Daphnia pulex: one gene and its partner. The protein of the gene in region 1 purifies or fractionates together with the protein of each later gene. This does not show direct contact. Links are inferred from orthologs where the notes say so. Each region holds a gene or a part of one and is shown on either strand. Other genes may lie near its edges.

The links.
Region 2: the proteins of partner of Y14 and mago-like (region 1) and protein mago nashi homolog purify together in Drosophila melanogaster (affinity purification with western blotting; 4 studies listed by BioGRID, with this or other methods). This does not show direct contact. The link is inferred for Daphnia pulex from reciprocal best matches to the Drosophila melanogaster genes Pym and mago.

The regions. Positions count from the first base shown.
Region 1 is NC_060028.1:8,802,956-8,807,518, reverse strand, and holds the start of partner of Y14 and mago-like, read left to right. Parts: upstream 1-1,647; 5' UTR 1,648-1,730; intron 1,731-1,777; exon of another isoform or gene 1,778-1,895; intron 1,896-1,998; 5' UTR 1,999-2,146; intron 2,147-4,563. Other genes in the region: actin, clone 403-like, read right to left, coding at 1-104. UniProt on the Drosophila melanogaster protein: Regulator of the exon junction complex (EJC), a multiprotein complex that associates immediately upstream of the exon-exon junction on mRNAs and serves as a positional landmark for the intron exon structure of genes and directs post-transcriptional processes in the cytoplasm such as mRNA export, nonsense-mediated mRNA decay (NMD) or translation.
Region 2 is NC_060025.1:2,833,609-2,836,484, reverse strand, and holds protein mago nashi homolog, read left to right. Parts: upstream 1-1,480; 5' UTR 1,481-1,577; coding exon 1,578-1,668; intron 1,669-1,744; coding exon 1,745-1,803; intron 1,804-1,861; coding exon 1,862-2,055; intron 2,056-2,114; coding exon 2,115-2,214; 3' UTR 2,215-2,322; downstream 2,323-2,876. Other genes in the region: uncharacterized protein MCAP_0864-like, read right to left, coding at 1-951. UniProt on the Drosophila melanogaster protein: Core component of the splicing-dependent multiprotein exon junction complex (EJC) deposited at splice junctions on mRNAs. Involved in exon definition of genes containing long introns, including the rolled/MAPK gene.

The DNA of each region.
Region 1 (4,563 bases):
ATGGATGGGAAGACGGCGCGAGGGGCGTCATCTCCGGCGAATCCAGCCTTGCACATACCGGATCCGTTGTCAACAACCAACGCTGCTACTTCATCGTCGCACATTTTGTTTTAGGGTAGTTTTCTTGAGACGAGCGAAACGTAAAAGTAAAAAAGAGGATTCGACGGAGGGGATCCCTGTTGGTGTGCAAATAACTTTTCGTTAATGTGGGTGCAATTGACAAAAAGAATGAAGAAGTCAAGAAGAATGTGACGCGCACTCGGTAACGCCCATCAACCACTTGTTGGCTCGATTCACACCAATTTCTTTTCTTTTAACCAAAAATCACTTTTTGAACCACTTGAACGTCGTGAAAAATAGCAAAAGAAATTTCTTTCTCGTAGACAAATTTTTTCCAAAAGATTTAAAAAAAAAATTAAAGTAGAAATTTAAAAAGAGAAGAAGAAAAAGTTGCAAGAGAAGAGAGGACCCACCTTGGTATCGAACTATTCCTTGCCGGGGTGCCGGTGCTAATGCGCTCCTACACCACCGAGTGCCGGCTTTATATAGGGGGCGCTGCTATCAAAGTCCACAGCAGCAGCAGACAGCCCTACTGGCGGGCTACGGCTACGGCCACTAGAGTTTGCCCATATTGGGACAGACTTTTCTACACGCCACACACACACTATACAGATATGGTCCTGGAATCAGCCCCCCTGACTAAAAGAACAAAATGACGTCACAATGAGACAACAACGGACACTTCTTCTTAATATTTGATAATGCCAATAAAAAACTTGCGTGGATTTCAGCAATCAGACTCTTTTTTTGATTCAATTATATCCGTCATCTTTTATGAAATAACCTAAATAAGGACATGGGTTCTCAAATTGAGCCAATCTGTAAGGCGGGTCGGGTATAGCCAGTGTTTTTTAAAAATATTTCCCATTTGACCTGAATGAATTTAATCGCCATTTTGGAAATCGAGTTGGCCCGCAGGGATGATGAGCAGTGCATCTTATTTTTTTTTTATTTACTGAGAAAAATATATACACGCAACAGGTTGTTGTCTCCGATCGAGCTCGGTGTTTCACCTGAGAGCGGCCATTTTGATTTTTTAGGGTAGAACAAGTGGAGGGGGGGGGATGCACTGCTACACGAACGGGAAAAAAGCTTAGGGGTTTCAACGGTTTTTTTTGTTGTTTACTACCTGTGTAGCATAGTAGCTTTTAAATAGCCTTAAAATAAACTTTGATGAGATTATCAGCGGATGGCTCGTGTTATACATCTTTTGGCGCGACTCGAAGAGAAAGTTCACCTGGGAGAATTGATTACAACAAAAGGTTGTTTGAAGGGGGGGGTTAGAAGAGAAAATGGCTGACATGTCTCCCCTCTTGTTTCATCTTTTCCCGTCATCATCATTTCCTTCTTTCTTCTTCTCCCCCCACCAACTAGAACTGTTTTTTGTTTATTTTTTATTTTTTTAAATTTTATCATATTCGGCATTCCGATGGTGGGCCTTTTTTTCTCCGTCTGACTGTGAAGTCTTTCCAGCCAGCCAATCAGAAAGTACGTGACCATAAAAGGCAATCTTAAAAACCGGCTTCCCTCACTGGCAACGTTGCCGCTCGAGGAATCCCTTCCCCCACCCGCCGGTTGTTCAATCCGTCAGGTGGCGTTTCTTCTTCTTCTTCTTCCCACGAGTGGCTGTGATGCAGCTCAAAATGGTCTTTTTTCTTCTTCCTCGGCTGGTAATAATTTATACACACACACAACCACTTGTTGTATAAAGAGATGAAAAGTCATTCAACCGTAATATCGGTCGCTTGAAATTTATTGTCGAAATTTTGAAACTCTGCTCGAATTTCTTTGATGGACGATTATTGCTGTTGTTTTGAAATCATTAGATTCGTTCGGTTAGGTTTCGTGGGTTTTATTTTATGTGTTTTGTTTCTGTAGTTAAGGGAATGCGTGTAATGGAATCAAATGTGCGTATTTTTTGTTGGCCCCAACCTGTAGGTAAAACAAGCGAGTCCATCTTTTTTATTGTGAGAAACCCCCAACGGCGGACGGAGTGAACTAAAATAACGTCGTCTGGCAACAAAAACCCATTTTCTCTCAAATCTTCTGGCATCTTCTTCATCTGTTTGCCCTTAATTAACATTTGGTAACAACATTTTCTCTCATTATTCTTTTGATCGTGTGGGACAGGTGGGTTATTCGTATGACAAGTTCTCATCATTCGGTCGCATTGACGAACGTCGAAACGAGTTGGTAGTCTGATGAGGTTTATCGCCAGTTTGTGTGACACGCACAGAGATATCTCGATCACGCTCTGTTGAGGAATTTATAGACGACATCCTTCCTTCCTGCTCGACTGATTTACTTGCTCTTGGATCATCAGTGGGGGCTACTGACCGGCCACATGATGTTGGTTTTGGAACTCAACCATCAAAATGGTGGCCGGGATGTTCATTGTCGTGTTCCGGGGTAAAAAATTTATTTTTTTTAAAAATGAAAAAAAATGAAAATCTCCGTTTCTTCGTTCTGTTCACCGTGTGGCCGCGCCAGAAGCTATTCGAACGAGAGCAACAACCGAATCATTTTTTTTTCTTTCGCCAAAACGATTAAAACGGTCGTGGCCGGCTCTTTTGTCCCGCAGGAAAAAGAATCTCTTCGTTATTTTTTACGCTTGAAGAATTTATATTTATTTTTTCTCCAGACGTTGTTTCCCTCGTCAACAGTTTTTTTTTCCCCGAACGAACGACGCCATTTTTTACTTGTACGTCACACACACACACAACTTGTGGTAATTTGACGAGGGGGATAGTGGCTTCAGGTCATCCTCCTTATGTTAGGAACTGCCCATCTGTCATTATTGAGAAGACTAATAATATTTGAAGGGGGGAAAAAACTCACGTTCGGCCATTTTGGATTTTAATATCGGGATAAATTTTGTTTTTTTTATCAACTATAAATTGACCTTGGGACACTGGGATCTGGATGCACTCGTCCAACACCATGTAAGGACATGTTTAAATCGGTTTTTTTTCTCTCACACACTTTTGAACTTTTGAGGGTCTTAAATGTTTTTATCAAAGAGTTTTTGTGTGTGTGTTAATCTGTCAGTTAGAGAACAAAGTTCAAGTCAGTTGTGTGAAGAACCGGAACATGAGAATCGTCTTTTTTTTCCCATTTTCAAAAGTAGAGAAAGAGAAAAAAGCGTCCGACTTTGGTGGTGGAGAAGAACGTGACTTAATATGGTCAACTTCGTGTGTTTATCCGACGAGAGAGAGAGAGAGACGAAGCTTTCACGCAGGCACCGGTTTAGTTCTCGAAAAGATTTTTTTTTTCTTTCTTCCTATTCGTCGTCGTGATCCCCTCAATTTTGTGTGGTTTTAACCGTAATTTTCTCTCTACAAGAGAATTTAATCCCGAAATTAAGTAGACAAGATAAAGGAACCCAATCAAAATGTCAATGTCGAAACAAATGAGTTACAGCTAGGCGATAACTTTTGTTTTTCTCAAGGCTTCGGTCAGTCATCGATGATGATGTAAATAATCTGACGTGAGTCATCAAGTCTAAAAATGTGACGTCATTCATTTCCGTTTGGTATTTGCGCTAATCGAGACAGCCAAGAAATTACACAATGGGCTGCTGGCTAAGATTAATCGTTATCTGCCAAAAGGCCAAGTGGTGGTGTGGCGGAAGCGCAACCCGATTTCAGACGAAATGTCTACATGTAAAAGAGCAAAGGAGAAAATATAGGTAACCAGGCGAGACGGTGGCGCTGCTGTCGCTGTTTCACGCCGGCGTGGGAGCCGGCGTGAATATATGCGTCGCTTGACCATATATGGTAATGTTGGTCTTTTTGGTTTTTTGGGGGCTGTTGGTTGTTTCTCCCCTTTGGTGGGTGCGTACGACATCAAGAGCTTGAAAAGGCCACACCTCCCTCTTTTTTCGGGATGGCCCACATTGACACACAAAGTCACGTCACGTGACCTTGAAGAGGGAAGAAGACGAGCAGCAGCAGTTGAAACACTCAGTTCCTGCAGGCAGCACATGTGTTGAGGTTTTAGCGGGAGACAATTTACGTTGACGGATCCGCTGATGATCCGTTCCAATCGGCTCCCACAACAATGCGTTCACCGAGACTTTGTGTCTATTGTGAAAGAATTCAGGCGACAGATTGCCGACGCGACCTGAAAGAGTAACAAACACACACCTGGCCGAAATAATAATCATCAACTGGCCGTGAGCGAGTTCGGCTGTGCAGCACATAACAGAACATTTGACTGTGTTCTCACCATGTGATGCGCGTGAGCATCACCGGCACCGTGCGGATTATCACAGATGGATGAGCCCGTGATCTGGGTGTATGTATTTTGTGTACGTTTTGGGAAATGAGAACAAAAAGTAGGACGAGGCCATTGCACACGAGGAGTCTGCTGCCAACAGGATAGGACCTTATACACCTGGGCCCCGTTCGTTCACCAAGACGATGGCTGGTTCACGCTAGAATGGGCTGGCTCTAGCATCTTTTTTTTATTTTTTGTTGTTATTTTTCTTTATTTTTTTTTACC
Region 2 (2,876 bases), on another chromosome or scaffold:
TTGTTCATCGATTACTTTTGAATACCTCGTATCCATTTCTTCCATCTCAGTGCGGTGGTTTTCTTCGCATTCATCAATTATAGAGTACAACTCTGAGATAATTTCTTCAAGTTCATTGTTTTTGCAGTTTCTGTTGTTAAGCAAAGTTTGGTAGTATTGTCGAATTTTTCCGACGCTTTCCTGGTGGTCGCTTTCTAACTCCTGGATTTTCTTCTTTGACAAGGCTTTTTCTTCCTCAAGTTCTTTTGCTTTGCTGTCTAGTTGGAGGACAAGCTTTTCGTTTGCGCTTTGAAGAATATTACGGGCAGCGTGGAACCCTCTCATCTTTCGTTGCATAGATGTATTATGAGCGCATATCTTTTTGTACTGATCTTCAAGTTCCTCAATCCTGTTATCAACGACCGTCGTAGGAAGTTGCACATCCACGGTTTGAGTCGACTTATCCTCCTGTTCCGGGACTAGTATCACGTTGTTCTGTGCTAGTGCGGACTTGGTGTTGGCAGGATTAAAATCATCAACGTCGTCGACATTCAGTGCTGATTGGTTGTTCTTCAGGTGCGAGATGGTTTTCTCGAAGTTGGTGATGTCTCGATTTTTGGCATACAGTTCACACCTGGTAGAAATTAGCTCGTCACGTACCTCGTCATGTTCTGAGCTCAACGTGGAAAGTTCAAGTTTCAGTTGGATAACTTGATTTGCCAAACGTTCATTGTCTCTTTTCAACTTGCCATTCTCCTCTGTTTGGAATTGCTCATCGGGAATGCTGGTTGTTGTTAGCATTTCCGAATCCACTGTGAGCCGCTGTCTGGTGTCTTGACAAACTTCCGGTTCAACATCGACGCTGTTTGGGTATTCAGCTGATGAATGCTGATTTTTGGTACTAGGAGAAGATTTTTCGGTAAAATATTTCACCCAAACCCAAATCACAACGATTTCCAATAAAAGACCCATCTCGAAATATCTGCTGAAAACTTTTGTAAACCAAAACTACTAAGCAGTCTTATTATCTGTTGGCGTTGACTTGGGCTTTATATAACCTGCCATGGGAATCATTACTTATGCAGGGCTGTTTTTTCCTTCTTTTTCTTTCACCTCTTATTAGGTTTTTTCTTTTTAACATTCGTACTGAACTTAAATCATAGTTTATAAATTTGCGCATGTTATTCAATTAGTGTGAAGTTGATTGAAAATAACTATCAACTCTTTTTTTCCATTTTAAAACTCAGCATTGTGCTCGAGAAAAGTCGAGATTACGGTTTGCCTGGTTTGAAAATGCGACAGAGCGCCTGGGCGGTAAATTTGCAAACTAAATAACTTGTCTAAACTTGAATTCGTCGATGAAATTTATTCGGTAAATTAGTCAAATCGTCAAATTACCAAGTATATTTATTAAATTTGAGTTAAAACCCGGTTTAAACCACCATGGTTTTTTACACTGCAAAGCGAACGACATTGTAAAATGTGTTTAGGGATGAATGTTTCGGCTTGTTTTGGAGAGGGGGTAACCAGCAGTAGAACACAAGCGAGTAGCGTGGGTTGTTTCACTGAAATTTACAAATCGTAATTTATTACACAAAATGCCGAAAAGCGAGTTTTATTTACGATATTATGTTGGGCACAAGGGAAAATTCGGCCACGAGTTTCTCGAGTTTGAATTTAGGCCTGATGGTAACTAAATATCATGTTATTTGATGTCACATTTGCACCTTTCACTAAATACCGGGTCGTCCTAATTTCTTTTTAGGCAAACTGAGATACGCCAATAATTCCAATTATAAAAATGACACCATGATCAGAAAAGAGGTAATTTCAACAAGATATATGTTTATCAAGATCTGCAACATTTGATTTCTTTCTTTAGGCATATGTTCATCAAAGTGTTTTGAATGAGTTGAAACGAGTTATCGAAGACTCTGAAATTCTTCAAGAAGATGATTCCCTGTGGCCAACTCCTGATCGTGTTGGAAGACAAGAGCTTGAAATTGTCATGGGAGATGAACACATTTCATTCTCAACATCAAAGATTGGCTCCCTTGTAGATGTCAATCAATCAAAGTAAATCTATATTATTTTGAAACCAGTAAATTAGTTTAATTTCCCTTAATATTTTACAGAGATGCTGATGGATTACGTGCATTTTACTATCTGGTCCAGGATTTGAAGTGTCTCGTGTTCTCTCTCATTGGTCTCCACTTCAAGATCAAACCCATTTAAAGATTTTGACTGTGATGTGTATTGTCAAATGTCAATTTTCCATCTAACTATCCCATATGGTGTATGATTTTTTTTTGTCCAAGTAATAAAAAAGGATTTCTTGAAGAATTTTGTTTTAGTACTCAAACATGACAAAGTGTAGTGTATTCATGAACATATATTCTTTTTATAATCAGACAAAAATGAAAAGTGAAGGATACTGATTTTTGACAACAGAAGGGTGTTAATTTGGGTGTGTAATGTTATCAATAGAAACCCTGGAGGATGAAAGCCGTTGTTTATAGATTTTTCATGAGCTATCTTGTTCGAGATATCTACATTACGGGACCTCGCTAGAATGTAGAATGAATATGATTAAAAAACCGGTTAAACGTCCTTGCGAATAGGAAAGATCGATTTTACGCAACAAATGCACGAGACCTGGCGATACTGGCTTATGGCATTTCTTGTAAATGCGTAAATAAAACTAACTGGCCTACTTTTTTCCAACATATTTTGCAATACTTTCAACTGAATTATTTCCTCAAATATTTTCCGAACCGTTAAATGAAATGAGTCAATGTCAATGACACATCACATCCCACGCTATTTAAATGTCCTAAGCTCTCTCCCCTGCCTACACTGAAAATGTTAACAACTAACTGAAATAGATACAATTTGAC